Linked DNA regions of Drosophila melanogaster. The protein of the gene in region 1 interacts with the protein of each later gene in a pairwise test. Each region holds a gene or a part of one and is shown on either strand. Other genes may lie near its edges.

What was found. The genes of interacting proteins can lie anywhere in the genome.
Region 2: the proteins of Spt-I (region 1) and mgl interact in a two-hybrid assay, tested with the Drosophila melanogaster proteins (one large-scale study listed by BioGRID).

What each region holds. Positions count from the first base shown.
Region 1 is NT_033778.4:13,160,957-13,171,153, forward strand, and holds Spt-I (serine palmitoyltransferase subunit I), read left to right. Parts: upstream 1-7,541; 5' UTR 7,542-7,614; exon of another isoform or gene 7,615-7,858; 5' UTR 7,859-7,884; coding exon 7,885-7,932; exon of another isoform or gene 7,933-7,994; coding exon 7,995-8,494; exon of another isoform or gene 8,495-8,550; coding exon 8,551-8,878; exon of another isoform or gene 8,879-8,933; coding exon 8,934-9,299; intron 9,300-9,351; exon of another isoform or gene 9,352-9,360; coding exon 9,361-9,525; 3' UTR 9,526-9,788; downstream 9,789-10,197. Other genes in the region: Nrk (neurospecific receptor kinase), read left to right, coding at 1-43, 110-352, 412-1,694; CG15870 (uncharacterized protein), read right to left, coding at 2,516-2,887; GLaz (glial lazarillo), read right to left, coding at 3,261-3,533, 3,590-3,662, 3,721-3,875, 5,468-5,605.
Region 2 is NC_004354.4:9,494,215-9,504,411, reverse strand, and holds the start of mgl (megalin), read left to right. Parts: upstream 1-4,282; 5' UTR 4,283-4,538; intron 4,539-8,222; exon of another isoform or gene 8,223-8,436; intron 8,437-8,512; exon of another isoform or gene 8,513-8,738; intron 8,739-10,197.

The DNA.
Region 1 (10,197 bases):
TCCTACATCGGTCTCACCGAACTCAAGGAGTCCGAAGTGAGCTGTAAGTCTTCATTATCACAAACCCTCAAGAAGGTCTTTCTGATGCTAGAATCCCTTTTCTTCACAGACGATTGCCGCAATGGAAACGGACGCTTCTACATGGGCACAATGAACGTGTCCAAGTCGGGCATTCCCTGCCAGCGCTGGGACACTCAGTACCCGCACAAGCACTTCCAGCCACCACTGGTCTTCCATCAGCTCCTGGAGGGCGAAAACTACTGCCGGAATGCTGGCGGTGAGGAGCCGCATCCCTGGTGCTACACTGTGGATGAATCAGTGCGCTGGCAGCACTGCGATATACCCATGTGTCGTAAGATCATAAAATTTTTTCCTCTTTTACTTTTTGTAATTCACCCACTTCTGTTTTAGCGGATTATGTGGACCCCAATGCTGTCGATTTGAACACGCCCATCAAGATGGAGAAGTTCTTCACGCCATCGATGATCTTTCTCTTGGCTGGAATAGGTTTCGTGGCCATTGTGACCCTGCACTTGATGATATTGCTAGTCTATAAGTTGTCCAAGCACAAGGATTACTCTCAGCCTGCGGGAGCAGCCACTGCCGAATGCAGTGTTTCCATGCGTGGAGGAGGAGATTGTGGCGGCAATCTGAACACCAGTAGAGAAACCCTCGGAGGCAATGGAAACACGAACACCTTGGCAAAATGGGGCACCATCAGGAGCACGGCCACAATACACAGCAATTGCGTGGCCCTTACTACGGTGACCAATGTGTCTGATGCGAAGGGCACGAAACCGAATGCACGCCTGGAGAAGTTGGAGTACCCACGCGGGGATATAGTGTATGTGAGATCATTGGGTCAAGGAGCCTTCGGTCGCGTCTTCCAGGCCAGGGCTCCTGGACTTGTTCCCGATCAGGAAGATCTACTAGTCGCTGTTAAGATGCTAAAGGACGACGCCAGCGACCAGATGCAGATGGATTTCGAGCGCGAGGCCTGTTTGCTGGCCGAGTTCGATCATCCCAATATCGTGAGGCTGCTGGGGGTGTGCGCCTTGGGCAGACCCATGTGCCTGCTCTTCGAGTACATGGCTCCTGGCGATCTAAGCGAGTTCTTGCGCGCCTGCTCCCCATATGCCACACACCAGGCGCCGACACAGGATCGTCTGCAGTTGAACGAGCTACATCTGCTGCAGATGGCGGCCAACATTGCAGCGGGCATGCTGTATCTTTCGGAGAGAAAATTCGTCCACCGGGATTTGGCCACCAGGAATTGCCTGATCAACGAGCACATGGCGGTAAAGATCGCCGACTTTGGGCTCTCGCACAAGATCTATTTGCAGGACTATTACAAAGGCGATGAGAACGACTTCATCCCGATCCGCTGGATGCCACTTGAGAGCATACTGTACAACAAGTTCTCGCTTGAGTCGGATGTGTGGGCATACGGCATCTGTCTGTGGGAGGTCTTCTCCTTCGCCTTGCAGCCCTACTTTGGGTTAACCCACGAGGAGGTGATCAAATACATCAAGGAGGGCAACGTACTCGGCTGTCCGGACAACACGCCGCTCTCCGTCTACGCGCTGATGCGTCGCTGCTGGAACCGCAAGCCCAGTGAGCGACCTGGCTTCGCCGAGATCAACCACTGCATCCAGCACAGCATCGCCGAGAGCGAGTGCAAGGCAATGCTCTAGGGGATTGCCGGAGAAGTGAATGAAATAATCCTTGTCGAACAGAACGATCGTCCGTTGTCCTTGGGGGCAAGCAATAGAAGCGCATGAATACGCCAGGTTGGGTGGAAAAACAATAGAAGGGAATGCCATCATCTTAACACTTGATAATAAGCTTTTGGATCTTTAGTTGTGTATCTCAGCATTGCCGCTTTTGGTTTAGGTCATATAAAATAGTTCTGAATTGCATAAAGGTGGCATTCCTTGACTATCTTTTTTGAGTCTCCCCAGCTCTTATGCATATTGAATTCAATTTTGCACAAGGTGAGATCAGAGGGGCATCTGGTTTGTGATTAAGTTAGTATAAATGACAACTCCATATCTTTAAGAGATAGCTCCGTTACCAAGTCTTTCATTCGATGCTTCCTCACATAACTTTCTTTAATCGATACAGAAACTATTTTGATACACTTATACCCTCTGATCTCTCGATCTCGATCGAATAGTCTGCCACAACGAACGCATCATCAACGTCTCGTATCCATATCTAGTCTGTAGATTAAGTTTATATATATATGCGCATATGTAGATTGCATTTTAATGGGAATATTTTTGACTAGGCTTAAGCACTGCCATCGCAGTCGCACTCCACAAAGATCGCTGATCACTGATCGCTGATCACTGGGTGGACAAACAGGAACCAGACACCGGAGACCATCAAAACAATAAGTTAAATGAGATATGGAATATTTAGAGAACTGTCTACAGCCCGAATTTCTGGGTAACTTTACATAATCTTTGTAACTAAAGCAACGTGTTGATTGTAATTTGTATAAATAAACCATCTATAACCGTATCATATCAGCAGTAGTAGTAATTATAATAGTAATTATCGTAGTAGCAGCGATTATAGGTTGCGGGATAGGGTACGGGAAGAGGAACCGGAAGAACTCCCGCGTATCCAGCGTAGCCGCCATATCGGGCATATCCGCCATATCCGCCATATCCTCCATAGCCTCGAAAGCCGCCTCCTCTAAAGCCTCCGCGGCCTGGTCCACCGAAACCGCCACGACCGAATCCTGGACCACGTCCTCCAAAGCCGCCTCTTCCAAAACCACCTCTTCCTCCTCCGAATCCGCCTCCGCGGCCGCCACCTCCGAAACCTCCAGCATGACCGCCTCCTCCGTGTCCTCCTCCGCCTCCACCTCCTCTCGCATCGGACATATGTGCCTGGGCCACAAGGAAAATCAGACAAAACAAAATCCACAGTCGGGACATCTTATCCGGCCAGAACCTTTTCAATCCGTTGGTAAATCACGACTAAGTTCCGATGACTGGGAAATTCTATTTATTGCAAATTAATTAGGACACCCGCGTTAATTGGCAATGCGGGCATGAGTTCATATATTGAAAACCTCGATCGAGTTACTCTTGTTTTTTGTTTCTGTATTTGCGTTGCTTCGCCTCTCTCCGCCGATTCACACTCCTCGATATCACAGCAGCCTAATTGATTAGGCATCAAATGTAATTTGTTCCTTAACCGAATGAACTTAAACATATAGATGGGGGATGAGACGCTGGAGGAGCTTCCTACAGCGCCTCGGGGCATTGTTTGTTTTTGCTGATGATGAGCCTTTCCGGATCCAGAGAGAGCCGCTTCAACACGTCGTACACTTTGGATCGGATATCCACCTCGAAGTCCCGATCACGTCCAAGAATCCAGATCTGATCGGAGTGACCCAGTGAGCCAATGCTGCCGCAGGACCACAAGATGGCGAAGTTCTCGTAGTCTGTGTATAGCACCTGGTACTTTCCGGAACCTGGCAGTAGTCGGGCAATCACGTCCGGAAATCGGGTGGTAAACTAGGAAAAAGGAATTGTGTATATTGTGTGTTGTTAATATTATTTATTGTAGATACCTTAAAATCCATGATGGAGGATCGGCTGTTTTCTGGTGTTGCATAGCCAATGTTCACATTCGGATTACCAGTTCTAAAAAGGACAAACACTTCTAACACACAATATATATTATTAGATTATTTAATCATACATGCGATTAATGTTTTTAATGGCCACAGCCAGCTTGAAATTGGAAAACTTCGATTGTTCGCCCTTGTTGTACGGCTCAAACTGAAAGGTGGTGCATCCGGAGGCGATTTCCGGAAGGTAAAAAGAGCGCTCTACCTCGTACCAGTGTCCAAGGACCTACAAGATAATGACATTACATAAAATAGATATTTTTACTTCCTTTTCAACATGTTCTTAAGTTCTTAAGTAAGTTGTTTCAGTGAATGGAAATTCTTCTACATATTCCAATTACTTCATTAAATCTGAAGGGTTTTATTGGAAGTAGAATCACCTGATAACCATCAGTCTGAAAGCCAAAACCTTTGTCACGCAGCGTTTCTCTCGGCCAAGAAACACTTAACTGGGTTACTAATCAAAATGCCACTTAGCGCAAACAATGCGTAAAACGTAAACATTTTTGAAACTGGTTATAGACTCGGTTGTGGCTGCTGGTCATTGAGAAGAGCCGCTCTTTTGGCCGCTGCTCATCTTGCAGTTCAAAGTCGGCGGTGGGCGCCGCATCGCATTAAAGAGCCACTGCTGGCCAGTCGAGGTCTTTGCCCCGGGTCAAAAGTGCGTTTAGGGGGCGGGGCCGGTGGCAAATGGCTTAATTTACGCCTGTCAACAACTCAATTGGATGATGTGCCATTTGGAAGTGGAAGTGGAAGTGGAGAGGAGGTCGCTAGACCCACATAATGTGAGTGACAATGCCTCCACCTCAACCGGGCAATTATGGTGCATTATCTTTTATGCAAATCAAGGCTCAATCAATTTAATTTGAGCTGCTTAAGTGATTGTTCCAATTTTCTATCCATGATCTCGACAGTGTATCTAAGCGAACAGTCGTCGGCTTTTATAGCTTAAAACAACTACGTGCATTTATGAGTACTAAACAAAGTCCATTTATGGATTCTCAGAAATACTTTGAAACAATCTTTTTACAGCCACCTGAAACCAATTTTCTAATTTTCTCTTTCGAAAAACATTAGTTTCACATTTGTGATGTCATATCGGTGGTTTGGCAAGATGATTCCATAATTACTTGATTGAAATATTGGCTGTAATAGCGAAATGTTCGCACCAGGAATGTTCCACTGTAGTGCACTTTGTTGTCCTTGGCGTGCCCATGTCTCAGCATTGGTACTGGTTGATTTACTTCTTTATAAAATAAGTGGCTTGTTTACCATCAGCAGGCCATAAAGCTTTTGTGCCGCTCGCCTCCTTCTGTAAAACTGGTTTGCATTTTACACGGCGGATCGGATTTGGTGGCCTTAAAATGGTTCAAGTTCATCATCTGCACAATCCCCAAGATGTAAAGAGGGGTCTTCGTCTGCGCCAGACGCCTTGTGCCAATTAATCGAAGATGTGACACGTTTAAGACGATGGCAAATAGACAGGCGATGAGTGGCCAGTTATACAATGCATCTCGTTGTTGTAAGGACAAACAGTTCTCATATATTCATACTCATAGTTATTTTCATACTCATAAATTCTTTGTAATCTTATAACTGGTGTTACTCAGTGGGTCAATAGACACAGATCTTTAGTAACAGGTTTGAAAGGTGGTTTAATAAAGCCAATTGCAAATATGTATATATAGACTGCAAACAAATGTCTGTATGAATATTTACAACACCCAAACAGGCTGTTAATAAAATAGCGATCGAAATATGTAGCAATTTTAGTTAGAGTTTGTAGAGTATGTATGAGAAAACCAGCAACTAACTTACCCGACTCATGTTAAACTTTGGCATCGATGGATAATTCGGGCAACGTCCAAATCCGTAGGCATCTGTCCCAGCAAATGTCACTAATAGCACTCCGGACAACAGCCAAACCCTCGAGCCAAGTGGCTGGCCACTCATCATGGTTGCTTCTGATAGTTCACTTTGAATATTTGGCACTTTAGGCGGCAGAATCGGCACTCCAGCACCTAACTAAACTGTGTGGAATTCGAAATCAGGCAATTTCCATTGAACTCGACCGTTTTAACTTGGCTGTGCACAAAGCGGTGATTTCCGATACGACGGGTTCACTTGGCCAACGAACTATGGATCGTCATGAACCAACTACATATACATTTCCTCAAAGGTACACCATGTCCGTCCATTAGTATTCCGGATGGGATGTGTGCGATAATGGAACGTGCTGGCTACCGGCTTAGTGGAGCAAGCCGGACCGAATTGGTAGGTCCCGCAAAGAAGAAGAAGTAAAGTGATGTGATGTGAGGTGAAGTGAAGTGAAAACCACTAACTGGGTTGGCGCGGCGCCGTGTTTATTATTGATATTTATTTTGGTTTTTGGCTCGTGCCCGGCCAGCGAGTTACGTAAAAGAAAAGCCAACGTCAAAATGCAGCTCGAAAACTGGTTGCTCCACCGATTTTCGCACACACCAAGAGATACTTATTGCGCATTGCAAAAAGCGGGTAAAAGCGAAAATACCTAATCGAGGAAATACTGCGCTGGGATGCATCAATTGTGTCATGGAGTTAGTCGGGTGCATTGCTCGATTTATCTGCGAAAGTGGGCATGGTGTAGACATGGTAGCTTCATTCGAGCGCATCAAGTTCAAGAGAAATAGGAAGTGGCTTTTCTTTGCGCTATTTCGGTTTGCCATTATCGCATGGGCAATGCTAACTATAACTATTTGATTGATAGATAGTGATGTGAAAGGTACTTTGATTGGTAGCTACATAGTATAGTTCATCAGTATCAGTTGGCAATTATTTAATAATATTGTAATTTAAGACGAAATGGAACTTGATAAAAATGATTATGTATATTTTAAATACAATCGTGACTTTGAAAGAAGTATTTCCTTGGGTCTAATTGAATAGTGATATAGGTAAATAGTAAATAATTATATGAAATGCAATAGAATTTACTATATATTAAAACAAGGACATTTGCAAGGAAGAGTGAATACTTGTACCTAGACTAGATCGCGACACATAGCGTAAATTGTTGTATCTAGACTACCAGCCAGGTACACCCAAATATACACTTCCCATCACTGCCAATAGAAAAAAGTGTTAATTTCACAGAAAACGACAGCCGCAAGTGGCTGAAAATAAACCAAGGCAATTGCAAAATACTCTTGTTGTCCAGCTGATTTCACTTTGTGCACATACAAGTATCCGTTTCGATTCGCGTGTAATGTGATAAAGTTTTCTTGCAAAATGCAGAACTAACTATATCTCTTTGTTTACATCGGCTTTTTGCGGTGTTCTTTGTCTTCTCGCGGTTTTTATCTCGCGAACTCGAATTTCAGATGGCGCCAGTAACGCGGCTCATTCACATCGGTTGACCGATCGCAGCAGCAGTTCAATGGAAACTGAATGGATCGGCGGTTTGAATTGAATTCGATTTCGTTATTTCCCACCGCACGGTCACACTGCGATCGCTGCTCTGCCTATCGATATAAAATAGTAATCGATCATATATTTGAAATGATAACTAGAAAAGAACCGTTACGTAGCAAGTTTATTTGAGTTCAGTATCATAAAAATATTGATAAAATCTAGGTAATTTTTAATAAAAATTTAAAATCTGTTGTAACTTGTTGTATTTTGTTGTTAGCGAGTCAGCTCGGTGGGACAGGTCAGTGGGACACGTCAGCGGAACAGGTCGGTGGGTCAGATCGGCGGGACAGGTCGGTGGGGCAGGTGGGCGGGACAGGTCGACAGGACCAGGTTTTTGAATAACAAAAAATAAATAAAAACGTCCCCTAGTTCCATATTCCACTGTTCCTCCATCGCCGCCAATTTGGCGCACATCTTAAAGATATCCGCGTATTGGTATTTTTTAGTACATTCGTTCATCCATCTGTTTCGGCGGATATTTCACGCATTTTGCCTATAGTTAACTGAGTTTTGTGGTGAGTGCTCGATTTAAATGGATATTTAATGTAAGAGAATGTTGGAGAAGGGCGTGGTTGCACATTTTTCGCCCACTGGCAATTAGCCTATGTCAGCATACACACCCAATTGAAAAGATTTCCGTACCGTATGGTCGAATGCTTCAATTCTACATATGTATGGGGCATACCCGCGATAAGAAAGCGTCGGCTAGATGACACATAACTTCAGGGAATTAAGGCGGTTTCAATTGATTTTTCACAGAAAGGGCACGGAACCAGACTGTCAAAATGGTGGCCATCCAATTGTTCAACGAAATCGGCAGTATTTTCCGAAACGTAAGTTTGCATTCGCCTTTTTCACCACATTTAGCTTACTCCAGTTTCTACTCCTTCCACAGACCCCCACGTTTGCTCTCGTCTTGGAGACCCTACTGCTCATAACCGTGATTTGGTTGCTGCTCCACAGACGAGGAGGAGGTCGTCGCCGACAGCTGACCAAGGAGGAGGAAGACCGAATAATCGCCGACTATGAACCAGAGCCCTTGGTGGCCGACACCGATCCCAATCATCCCCTGCTGCACACCCGCGTTGTGCAGTCCAGGGTGGGCAAGCGCATCCAGGTCGATGGACACGACTGCCTAAATCTTGGCTCTCACAACTATCTTGGCTTCCTCGAGGACCAGGAGATACTGGAGGAGGCCTGCAAGTCGCTGCGCAAGTACGGAGTTGGATCTTGCGGACCTCGGGGCTTCTACGGCACTATGGACGTGCATCTGGACCTGGAGGATCGTATTGCCAAGTTCATGGGCCTGGAGGAGGCCATTGTCTATTCCTACGGCTTCTCGACCGTGGCCAGTGCCATTCCGGCGTATGCCAAACGTGGCGACCTTATCTTTGTGTAGGATTGTCTACTTCACCTACTCAGATTGGCGACTAATTACTTGTTATTTGTAGGGATGAGGCTGTCAACTTTGCCATTCAGAAGGGTCTGGATGCTTCACGAAGCACAATCGTTTTCTTTAAGCACAATGACGTTGAGGATCTAGAACGTCTGCTGATTGAGCAAGAAAAACGAGACCAGAAAAATCCGAAAAAGGCGGCTAAGACACGTCGCTTCCTCGTCGCCGAGGGTATCTATATGAATACGGGCGAGATTTGCCCACTTCCCGACCTGGTGGCCTTGCGTCAGAAGTACAAGCTGCGTTTGTTCATCGACGAAAGCATCTCCTTTGGCACATTGGGCCAGGGTGGTCACGGAGTTACGGAGCACTTTAATGTCGATGTAGGTGGTAAACCGGAAAGAAAAACTAAAATTATAACTGGTATTTTTCTTTTAGCGTGATGAAGTCGATCTGATATCGGCCGGCATGGAGGGTTCGATGGCAACAGTCGGTGGCTTCTGTGTTGGCTCGCACTTCATAGCCGAGCACCAGCGCCTCTCTGGCTTGGGCTACATCTTCTCGGCCTCGCTGCCGCCCATGCTCACCCAGGCGGCTATTTCAGCGTTGGATCGTTTCGAACGAGAACCACAAATCTTCGAGCAGCTGCAGGCAAAGTCTAAGACGTTGCACCAGAAGTTTTTGCGATTCAGCAAGCTAACCCTGCGCGGCGATGAGGTGTCACCAGTGAAGCACTTGTATCTTGCCCAGCCCGCCGAGAACTTTGACAAGGAACTGAAACTTCTAACAGAGCTGGCTGATAAGGTAGGCATTTTATTTCCCCATGCAATTATGAAAACTATACATTTCTACTCACTTTTCCCAGTGCATTGCTCGTGGAGTGGCTGTGGTACAGGCTGCCTACCTGCAGAACAGGGAACGCCAACCAGTCCGTCCCAGCATTCGCATTGCTGTCAACCGTTTGCTGGAGAGTTCGGAAATAGACAATGCGTTTGAGGTCATCGAGAGTGTTTCCAGCTCCGTCCTATAAGCCTTGTTGTTGGAAAGGAATGATCTTCTTTCGACAATGGCCTTGCTGTTAAGTTTTAAGGCCTGCTGGCCCCATCATTTTTTCATCACTTCTTCACGACCAGTCCAGTATGAATTGTTTAAGTTAATAGCTAGCCTTGCACTTGCTCTTTGCACTTTGTTGCATTGCATTTTAATGAAAAATTTTAAGTCTAGGAAAACTTTCAAAGATTACACGTTATAGATAACAGAGCTGGTTAAATAAAACTATTAAGTTTATTTGGTAGTTACGTGCCCTTTTATTGGTGTTTCTTATCGCCTGCGCAATCGCAAACGTTTTTGAATATCCCGATAAAGATAAGGGTAATATTATGTGGCATTTGTTGTAAAATTTACAAGAACAACTTCCACAAAGAAACATTCATTATTTATTTATGTTTTTCTTGCATGACAATTAAGATACACATCACACGCTTAATAATAACTAATATGTGGAATAAGCCAGATGGAATGGAAATGCTTTGAAACGATTTGATTGCCAGTGGAGCAGAGCTGTTTCCGAGTGGCGACCTAATCTGTGAGCAATAATCATAACCCTTCGACTTTCAAACCCATGTTTGTGCATTCGATTCACTGATGAACTTGACAACGACGACCCCAAATCATGATGTTGTGCACATAGCGCTCTGATTTC
Region 2 (10,197 bases), on another chromosome or scaffold:
TGAACTGGGCTGGCTGCTTGCCCAGCCCAGCAGGTCAGCCAGCCTTTAGTTCGAGTAGACCAGGCCCGAAATCCAATAACCCCAATTAATAATAATAATACTACTACATACATGACGAACAACTTGAGAATTTGATGATTTCTTCAATTTTATTTCGGCTTTTGTGTGTGTGTGGCATGTAACGTAGTGCAATTCGATGAAATCGAATATTTGGAAAAACTGTCTCGTTTAAAAATCATCTGAAAGTATTCATTCATATTTTGCAAACAGTACTTGTTCCTTCTTTTTTTTAGTGCACATATAATTGGTTTTTTAAATTTGCTAATATTGCACAATTTGTTTTATTTTCTTCTCTATAAAATTATAGGAAAAATGTAATTAATTTAGGTTTATATTTACAAAAGATTTGGGTATTATTTTTGCACCCTTGATTAAAAATGGAAATATGAATTGAAGAGATCGCCGCACTCTCAAGTCGTTGAAGTTTTCTTTTATATAAGTCTCGATGTTGTTGTTTCTCATAGAGTGTACACATAAACATAGGATATATGTCCTCGTCATAAATATATTTAGAATGTACATAACAAAATACTCGAATATTTAATTTACTCTCTGTGTTCCTCTATTCGAACCGGAAACGAGTTTGCGTCTTCTTAGCACTCCAGGAAAATGAAGGAAAATGCCCCAATTTTCAATATGAAATGGGTGGAGAATTAAAGAGACCCGTAACTAAAAATTTCCCTTTCCTCTAATTTGACCTGAGCAAAATGTCGCTGGACGACGAAGGAAAAATACAAAAGATGTGTGTAAAACAAAACTAGAGAATTTTTTTATTATTAAACATAGTCAAGGATAATCAACACGAGATGATGGAGAATTTGGATGATGATGGCAAAAATGATGATGAGAATGCAAGGATGTAAAAGATATATTTATAGAAATGAGCTATATGTATACATAATGACAGATTGATTATATGATTATATAGTAACTTATTGTCACAACGCAAGAGCAATCAATGTTTAACTTTATTAAATGTTACAAAGAGTTTTAAATATTAAATATACTTAATGAAATATATACAGATATACCTATATATTGCAGATTATATTCTATACATATAATTTGTAGGTGAAGCTGAGATGAAAATGAATAAAAAATACTAGTCGTACTCGTAGTTCGCCATTATGTTTGCCAAAAATCGGAGATAAATGTAAGAAAAGTTGTGTCAGCCATTGCAGAAATTCGAGGGAAATTATTGTATTTAGCAAAAGGTTTTCCAGAATCTCATAAAACTCCATTTGTAAATCTATTGTACCCGCCAAATAAATAATCGTGAACCACAATCCTTATATTCAAAATAAGCAAACCACAAAAGAAGAAATTTTGGAAAGGCACGGTTTGAAAAAAAAAACCGGGCTGGCACTCTTTCTAATTTTTTTTTTGTTAGCATTTATTTCAAAATCGTTATTTCTTGTGTCTTAGCAATAATAATATAATTAAAATGTGTGTGTCGCTCTGTAACTGTCTCTATTGTGTTTGAGATTACTCGTATCTTATAATGAATATTATTACTAAACTAAAGCAAAAGTAACAAAAAAAAAGAAAAGAAAAGTAAGAAAGCAAAAACGCAGGAGACGCGGAATGGAATCCACAACAGAAATTAAAATTACTAATTAAAACGATTACTTACAGTAGACTTAAGAATACAATGATTAAATAAAGAAAACGATTTCCTTACATTAACATTGGTGTAACATTTTTCGGAAAAGCTCTTTTGGCTTAACAGAAGTTGTTGAAGGAAATAGAAAAGCTTTTAACGGTCACTTTCCCAAGTCACAGTAACACTGCTTTCTGCAAAAGCTTAAAGCTTAAAAGTGTTAGCTTTTTGAAGCTGTTAAAAGTCGATATTATAGGTTTATTTTGGCTTAAACCAATAAACCAGAGTGAAATGCTGGCTAAAAGCTGTGGTCGTTTAAGCTTTATTTTTAAACGGATTTCCGTTTTTTTTGCTAAGCAAAGGTTATTTTTCCCCTGGGTTACGTGGAAAATAGCTTGTTGAAAAAATATAACATCAGTTAACCAACTTGTGTCGTGTTAACGTGTCAAACTTTTCCAATTACTCACATGCACTTGGGCTCACCCAAATAATTTACCTTATATCATATCCGTTGCATCCAGTTACATATCCGGAACAATAGTTAAACCAATTTCGAGATTAACAACACGATTAGTACGTATAGTTAATATCTACGTGGTTTCTGATTATTCAATAAATAACTTAGGAAATGTTATGGTTGGTGGGGAATTTCTTGAAATAAAAACTTTATTATTTTTGATATAATATTTAAACATATTTTGATGTATTGGCTTAAGTTAATAAGTTCGCATATAATTTGTGTAAGCCAGTCATTTATTTGAATTGCGATCAAGTGTGCAACCTTGGCGCACTGCCCCCCACTCGAGAACATGCTCTACGGCTGTTTAAACTTTGGAGATGGTTAATAAATTTATTTTGTTTATTTTCGGCCGGGTCACGCTTTCCCCAAATGACCCTCGTCATAAAACGCGCGAGAATCTCTGGGTAAATATAAATATAAGAATTGCACGCTTTGGTTTTTGTGCATGAAAAGTTTACTTCGCATTTCGGTTTCGGCCAATTGTTTTTCTTGGCCCTATCACCTTTCACTGCGAAATATGTCTAAACGAGAATGTTTTGTGAATCCATTAAGACGCAATAGAGAATTTTCCTATAGCTCGTAGAGCGTTCGGTGATGTCTCCGCAGCACTGGATTGGAAATGTATATATCTTTCTACTTGGCCACCTGATAGGCGAAACAGCTTTTCCCCTTCGAAAATCTCAAATTGTTCAATTCCGCTTCCAAGAATGCGGAACGGCCAGCAGGCGGTCAGGCAAAAGTTTTTAGGAGCCGAAACAGCTGTTCATTTGGCTGGTGACTGACTTGCTCTGCAATTAAAGCGATTTTTTTCGCGGAAGAAGGCCCTATTCGAATAGTTTGGATACACTCGAATTCTTGGGAGTAAATATTGAAGAACTTCTTCAAAATTCTCCTGCTCAGTTCTAAAACCAAAACAATGGGATTTACTTAGGTTCCGTTTCATATGTGTGTGAGTGTAAGCTTGTACTTGAGAACAAGTGCGTTTATTTTTAGCCGAGTATTGAATTAATTTTCGTACGGACTTGTAAAGGAGCTTACATTATTTTCGTAGAGCAACCTGGCAACCTGTTGAAGGGGCTTGCAACTCGAACCGCGTTCGCTGCCAGCATCGAGCACGTTGCACGTGGCAAGCAGCAATTGTGTGTTTACTCAATATTCTCGGCGTGCCGCAGATTGTGCCTTCCAGAAAGCAAAATAAACAAATAAAAGTTCCATGAAAAGGTATCATTTGTCAAGCGACAGCCGACAAATGAATACACATATGCATGTATGTATGTATGTATGTATGTCCTATGTACCCAACGACTTAGCGGCTTAAGTAGCTGCTCTAAATAATAAATTCAATTGTAATCAGAATCGTTTATGTAAATATTCAAATCGTCAATTTACCCGGACAGAGAGTGAGATAGAGAGAGTGTAAGAGTGTGACGTGGGGGGGGGGGGGGGTGGAATTGTCCTCCAATAATCCGCGAGGCAAGCAAAAGTCTGGGAGGGGGGGGGGTGGCAGGTGTAGATAAGCACCCCATTAAGACAACAATAAGCTCAACAAGTTGTTCTGGAAAACTGTCAATTAGAACCACCAACACGCACTGTGGCAGCAACAATTGTTCGAATGAAAACACAACATGCTGCATGTTGCACGCTCGAACATAGCCTTGCCATGGAATCGATGTTGCATCAGAGGTGTAGATGGGGGCTATTAGGAATTGCAGCGTAACTAAATAGTATTAGAACTTAAACGCAGAGCAGAGAACAAAGAAATGTGCACTCCGAAGCTGCGGAGTTCTCAAATAAAATGAAGCTAGCATTTTAGTAGAACTATTACTTGCTATTAAGTATGTACAATAATCTCAATAATAAGAACTAAATAATAATAATGAATTGGTTTGATGATGAAGCAAGCTCCTTGGGCAGTCATGAGCATACCAATGCAATTCTTTCGCTCTCGAAAGCGGCGCCTCTGTTTGAAGTCGCACTGCCTGTGAGTAGCGGCTGCAACGCAACATGTTCGATGGTTCGATGGTTCGAAGGTTCGATGCCTTCGGTTTTGGTTGGGCGGCGAGTGGGCTGCGCTAGCATCCGCTGGTCAGTCGCTCGCGGAGCGTCGTCGTGAACGGTCAGCCAGCGCGGCTAATAAGTAACCAACTGTAGTGACAGTGCGATAGTGACTCTGATCCGAACCCGAATCCCAGGCCCACAACAGATACGTCCAGCGTGTGGGCAGCCAGAACAGAGTGACAAGAATATCGGAGCCGACAACAACAGTAAACTGAAAGATAGAAAGAAAGAAAGAAAGGCCAACCTGCCGATTAAATTCCAATTGAGTGTTACGAGTTTTTTTTTCGAGTGAGTGCGGCGGTAAATATTTCGATCTTCTTCCCTTTTTTTTTTTTTTGCTGTGCCACCAACAGAAACCGAAAAATGCAAAAATTAAAAACCAATCAGTGAAAATCGCCAAAATTGCCAAAATATCAAATAGAAAAATATGGAAAATAGTTGAATCGAAGAAACGCAGACCGCAAAAATTTATAGAAAGAAAACAAACACACAACACACACACAAAGAAAAAACAAAAGGGGCAGACAGAAAGAAAGCGCTTTTATTATTTTATTTAACGATTTTTCTTCTTGCAATTTTTATTTTGCACACTTTGTTGTTGGGTCAGTCAGTTGGCGGCTTTCGCCACTTTACGAGCAACTTCCTTTTTTGGCCGGAGAAAAACCAGTCTGGCCAAGAGACCAAAAGACCCCTGGCCAAAAGACGTCGGTCGGTGGGCACCAAACACTGCGAATGTAAACAAAACAGCAGCAAACCGTATTTGTTTATGACTCGGCTTGGCCAGGATAAAGCCCAGAGACTTTGAGACCAACTAAATCCCACACCCCCAACCGCCAATCCCGCCCTCACCAAAAATATGATTTGCTAGCATTTCCCCCCATTCCCCGGCCGAGATTCTCAAGTGCGAGAGTTGCAAAAAAAAATGTGGTCCCCCCTCCCCCCTTTTATTGCCGCACCGCGTTGAAACGACACCCGGTGAAAGTTTCCCAGTCGCAACTTAGAACTCTCTTCATTTTCGGGTTTCTTTATTTTTTGCTTGATAAATGAGTCGCTGGCATAGCCCCCGGGGCGGTAAATCATCTCTGCTTGTGGCACTGACAATTTCACAAATTTATATATTTGCCACAACAACCGACCGAAACACTCACAGTCGAAAGTTTTCCACTTCGAGTGCAAATTTGACTGGCTTGGAAAAGTCCAGGCGAGCAAATTGGCCAGAGGTGTTGCCAACGAAAAAAAAAAAAAAAAATGAATTGGTAACGAAAACAATTGACGAAATCGGAAGTGACAGCATGATAGTTCAAGTTCAAACACGCATAATAACTTCATTGAAAACTGTAAACTTGAGAGTAAACAATAGTTTTCAAAGATTTCACGAAGTGTCTTCAGTTCAGCATATTAAATATACCCAAATACGGTTTCAAATTGACATAGATTAGTAATTTAACATAGGAACAGTTAAAAAAGTTAACCAGCTGGTGTGATAATATCTATGAAATTGTTGGTTTCTGGAACTTGAGAGATTCGCAAGTTCTAGCAAGCAGCGGTTGTTAATGCATATGAATACGAGACATCGAGCAATTTCGAAGATATTCCACGCCAGTTATCGCCCCCCCCGCCAGTAACTGGAGGCCAGCTCTAGCTCCCATTTTTAACTGGTTACCCCGCTCGAGAATTCACCATGTCGGCTCTCGGTTTTTTCCTTCGCTTTTCGCTTACTCCACACAACACAAATCGAATTGAATGGCAATCTGGAATATGCCAGGCAGATCCAATTGCATGCCACATATGCAGATGTAATGGGAGAGTTGGCCCACTCGCCACCCCCTTGTAAGCCCCCATCGAAACACCAACACACCCCCCCCCCCCCGGCCGCTTACAAAAATTAAGCCCCCTTAGCCGCCCCGCCAACTGTACCGCTGATCTGCTTGCCTCATTGCCGGTTAGAAAGCCAATGGAACGAGTTTCGTTGAGTGTGCAACTAATTTTCTAAATTGTTGTCGCTGCTGATCGTTGAGCGTGGCAAAAAAAAAGTAAATAAATAAAAAATACACACATTATTTATATGGCCAACGTCGCACAAAGAAATTATCTGTCACCAACATTGGTCATCAATTTTGATGGGTTTTCGGCGTCTAGAATAAGCCCTTTTATCACTGACGTTTTAATCAGATCTCTTCTTCAGAAGTATACAAAATCACGGTATGATCTTGCTTGAAGATGATTTCATTTTGCTAAAACGTGTTTTAATTCACTTTTAAATCATGAATCATAAATATAGGTATTTATGTGACTATTTTATATAGGGTAATACGATAATACAGAATCGTATATACGTACGTACTTTTGTAAAATAAAAAAAATTTAAAAACGGAATAATAAAATGTATATTTATGGAAATTTTTGAACGATGGCATATTTAAATAGATAAATAATTATGAGAGTGTGGGTGATAAGGCAAAGATTTTAGATTCAAAACCATCCATTCATCATTGCGAAGATCGAACTGTCATTTTTGCGATTGATTGATTGAATTTTAATAAAAGTCTTTGAAGTCGGACTTATTTATTATTTTTTTTTTTTATTGGGTTTTTCTTCTCTTGCGAGTGCGTCGTCATCATTTAATGGTGAAGATAGAAGAAGAATTATCCGAGCCCATAGAAGGCGAAGAAGAGGAAGAAGACAGGGCTAAAGAGACAGAGCGAGAAAGAGAGTAGGAGAAAGGGAGAGAGGGATAGAGAAATGTTAATGGATTAGGAAGCGAGCTCAAAAGGCAGCGTAGAAGAAGAATCGAATCTCGGCTACTTGCGACATTAGCCCTCTCCCTCCCACTCCCGCCCGATGAAGGCGGGCGCGAAAGAGAGGGGACGAGAGGGAGAGCGAGAGCGGAATTGAATGGCCAAAGGAAAGGTGAAAAGAGGCAACTTGGCTTAGACGATGATGATGACTGTTTCTTCTGTTTGTGTACGTATGTGTGTGTGTGTGTGCGGACAAACAGGTATCACGCACACACCTACAGACACACTCACACCTGTGCGGAATAACTAAGCAGCGACCCGATTTTCAACAGAGAGCCAGTGAGAGAGATAAGAAGAGAAGAAACAGAGCCAAGAATCCGATCCATGCCATGCGCCTAAAACTATTACAAATCTATAACAAATCTACCACGAATCTACAAACCACAAGAGATCTTTTCACAGATCAATTTTATTGGGATTATTCAAAAATTTCCAGTTTCTGTAGTGGGGTGATTAAAGGAACCTGCATATATGTTAAATGTTTCAAGTCATTTCATTTCATTTTTATTTTAATATTTTAAATCACATTTCTTGTGACACGTGTTACTTCAAAGATTATCCATCAATGTAATTTGTTGATAACTTATCTTTTACATTAGACAATAAAATAAATTGCGTTCCATTTAACAATCAAACGATTTGGTAGTAAAAAGGTATGAAACTCCAACGATATTATGACTACGTTTTCGTTTTGAATAGATAAAAGTGCTTCTGTTAGCTTTCTGATTCTTCTAATTAGTTATTTCAATTCCGATTGATGGAGTTATATTCTTAGGCTCTGCCTTGCATACATAGTATATCTCTAAGCTACATATATATATATAGGCCGAAAACCAATATGCAAAAACCAGAAACAAGTAGTCTTCATATGTAAAACTCTGTTCTCATTAAGTTCTGGACAGGTCATAATGATGTTTCGCCCCGTGTCGTTCCATCGTTCGCTCTGTCTCTTGTGTACTTGGATAAAATAAGATTTTTTTTGTGATTTTGCCGGTTGCCACACCTGAAATTCAGCTCTCTCTCCCTCTCTCTCTCTCTCTCGCTTGCGCCAACGCAGCAGCAGCAAGAACAAGAACGACCAAAACGAAAGACTTAAACGACATACGTGTCTCGCGCTGACGTCGCCGCTCTCTCTCTCGCTCTTTCTCTCATCCTCTCTCGCTCTCTGATTGCTGTGTTTTTTTTTTCAGTTGGTTTCCAAAGGCGCGCCGTCGCAGTTCGAAAACCGCGGCTCTCGCCAGCAAAATAAAAAAAAAAACAACAGCAATTTAATTTAAATAATTACAAAAGAGTCTATTTAAGAAAAAACCTTCTCGAAGAAAGGCAAGAAGAAAAATGGCGCGCGTTCAACAAAGAGAAAATTAGAAACGAAAACGATTTTTTTTTCAAGTGCTGACAAAGTTTGTGTTTTGTTTTCTTTATTTTTTTTGTTTTTGTGTTTGCCCTTTTGCCTGTTTCGTTTTCGGTGTTTCTGTTTTGGTTCTGTTTTTTTTCCATATTTTCTCTATTTTACCTGTTGCATTGGCCTGCCACCAACAACAACAAGAAGAAAGCAACAACAAAAGGATATATTAAGAAAATTTGTAAAGAAAAGTGCCAGCACAAGGATTTTTGCTCTCTCTCTCGCACGATGCTGCTCTCTCGCTCACGCTCGTTCTCTCGCTCTCTGTCTGGATTACGCTCTTCTTTTTGCCAGTGACAGGTAAGCAAAAACAATAACAACCAGAAAATCAGAAAAAAGAAAAACAATTTTCTTGTAATTTTAATTGGAAAACGTGTTACGTTGCACACACAAAAATGTGGAAAACCACCGAAGAAAATCGTTTGAAATTTTTTTTTTTAGACAAACGAAGACATGTGAACCAGAAAAAGAAGAAGCTGTCTCTTGCCGGTCGAGCGGTAAATTAAGTTGTCCCAATCCCCCACACACGACCGCCCCTCCCCCCCATCCAATAGCACTAACTGGCACTCTCTGGTACTTTCTGTACCATCTGTAACTCGGGCTCGGAACGTATTCAATTAGCCAGTTTTGGTATGCAGCATTCTTTTGAGCTACCGAATATATAAGCACTGTGCTTTTTAAGAAAAACTCTTTTTATAGCCAGCCAACTCGAATTTTCCACATGCAACTGGTCAAGGCGAAATATTAATGAGTACAGAATACTAATCAGTAAATATTTTTTCACACCAATACAAGATTTTAGTAACAGCTGTCGAATGATTTCCAGTAGCCATTTATAATGGGTAGATTTTAAAGCTGTTGGTTATGCGTATCCTTTAAATCCTTTAGAAATCCTTTAACATCTTTTAAAGGTATCCTCAAGTCGCTTCTTAAAGGCTCTTTTTAACTTGTGGTTGTCTTTATGCTTAGTTTTGTGCTTCCCGTAACTTTAGTGGGATTCCCCTTACGCTCATCAACTAGCTTGTTGTTAGAATGCGTTTTCTGCGCTTTCCACTTTGGCCCCACCCCCCTTCCGGGTTTTCCGACCCTTTGACGCCGCCAGGAACTAACTGATTTTCCCCCTTTCGTTCTGTATCATTGCCTTTGCTTGTTTCGCCGTCCCTTTCCGATGGCAATGCATTTAGAACCAGATCTTATAGCATTTTTTAGTGGGGGAGCCAGCATCTTGCTGTCCTCCTTTGATATCTTCCCTCTCGTTCGCACTGTGCGTATGTGTGTGTGTGTGTGAAATGTTTTTGTTGTTTGTTGCCGCTGATTAAATTGTTTGAGAACTTTCGTTTATAATTTGATGTACCATCCACCGCCCCACCCGCTTGAAAAGTCGCCACCCACACGTCGACTTTCGCCCGGAAAATTTCACCCACCACCCACCGCCCGCCGTATTTAGTTTCATTTCTGTGTGCAATTAGGCAGCATTTATCTCGTTTAAATTTGCGGCAGTTTACGAAGCTCAGCGGGTCCCGCTTATCACAAAAACCCAAACAAAGCACAAAAGATACGTCGACGGGGTACACAAAGCAAAAAGTAGGTTCGTTCTTGGATTGAAATGCATATTAAATATACAAGCCTAAAATTAGAACACTCTGGAAATAATAGTTTAATCATATAGTTGATATTTTGTTAGCTGTGTGAAAGAAACAATTCTTTACAACAATGGGAATCACAAAGGTACCAAATGTAAGGCTCGACAATATTTTCT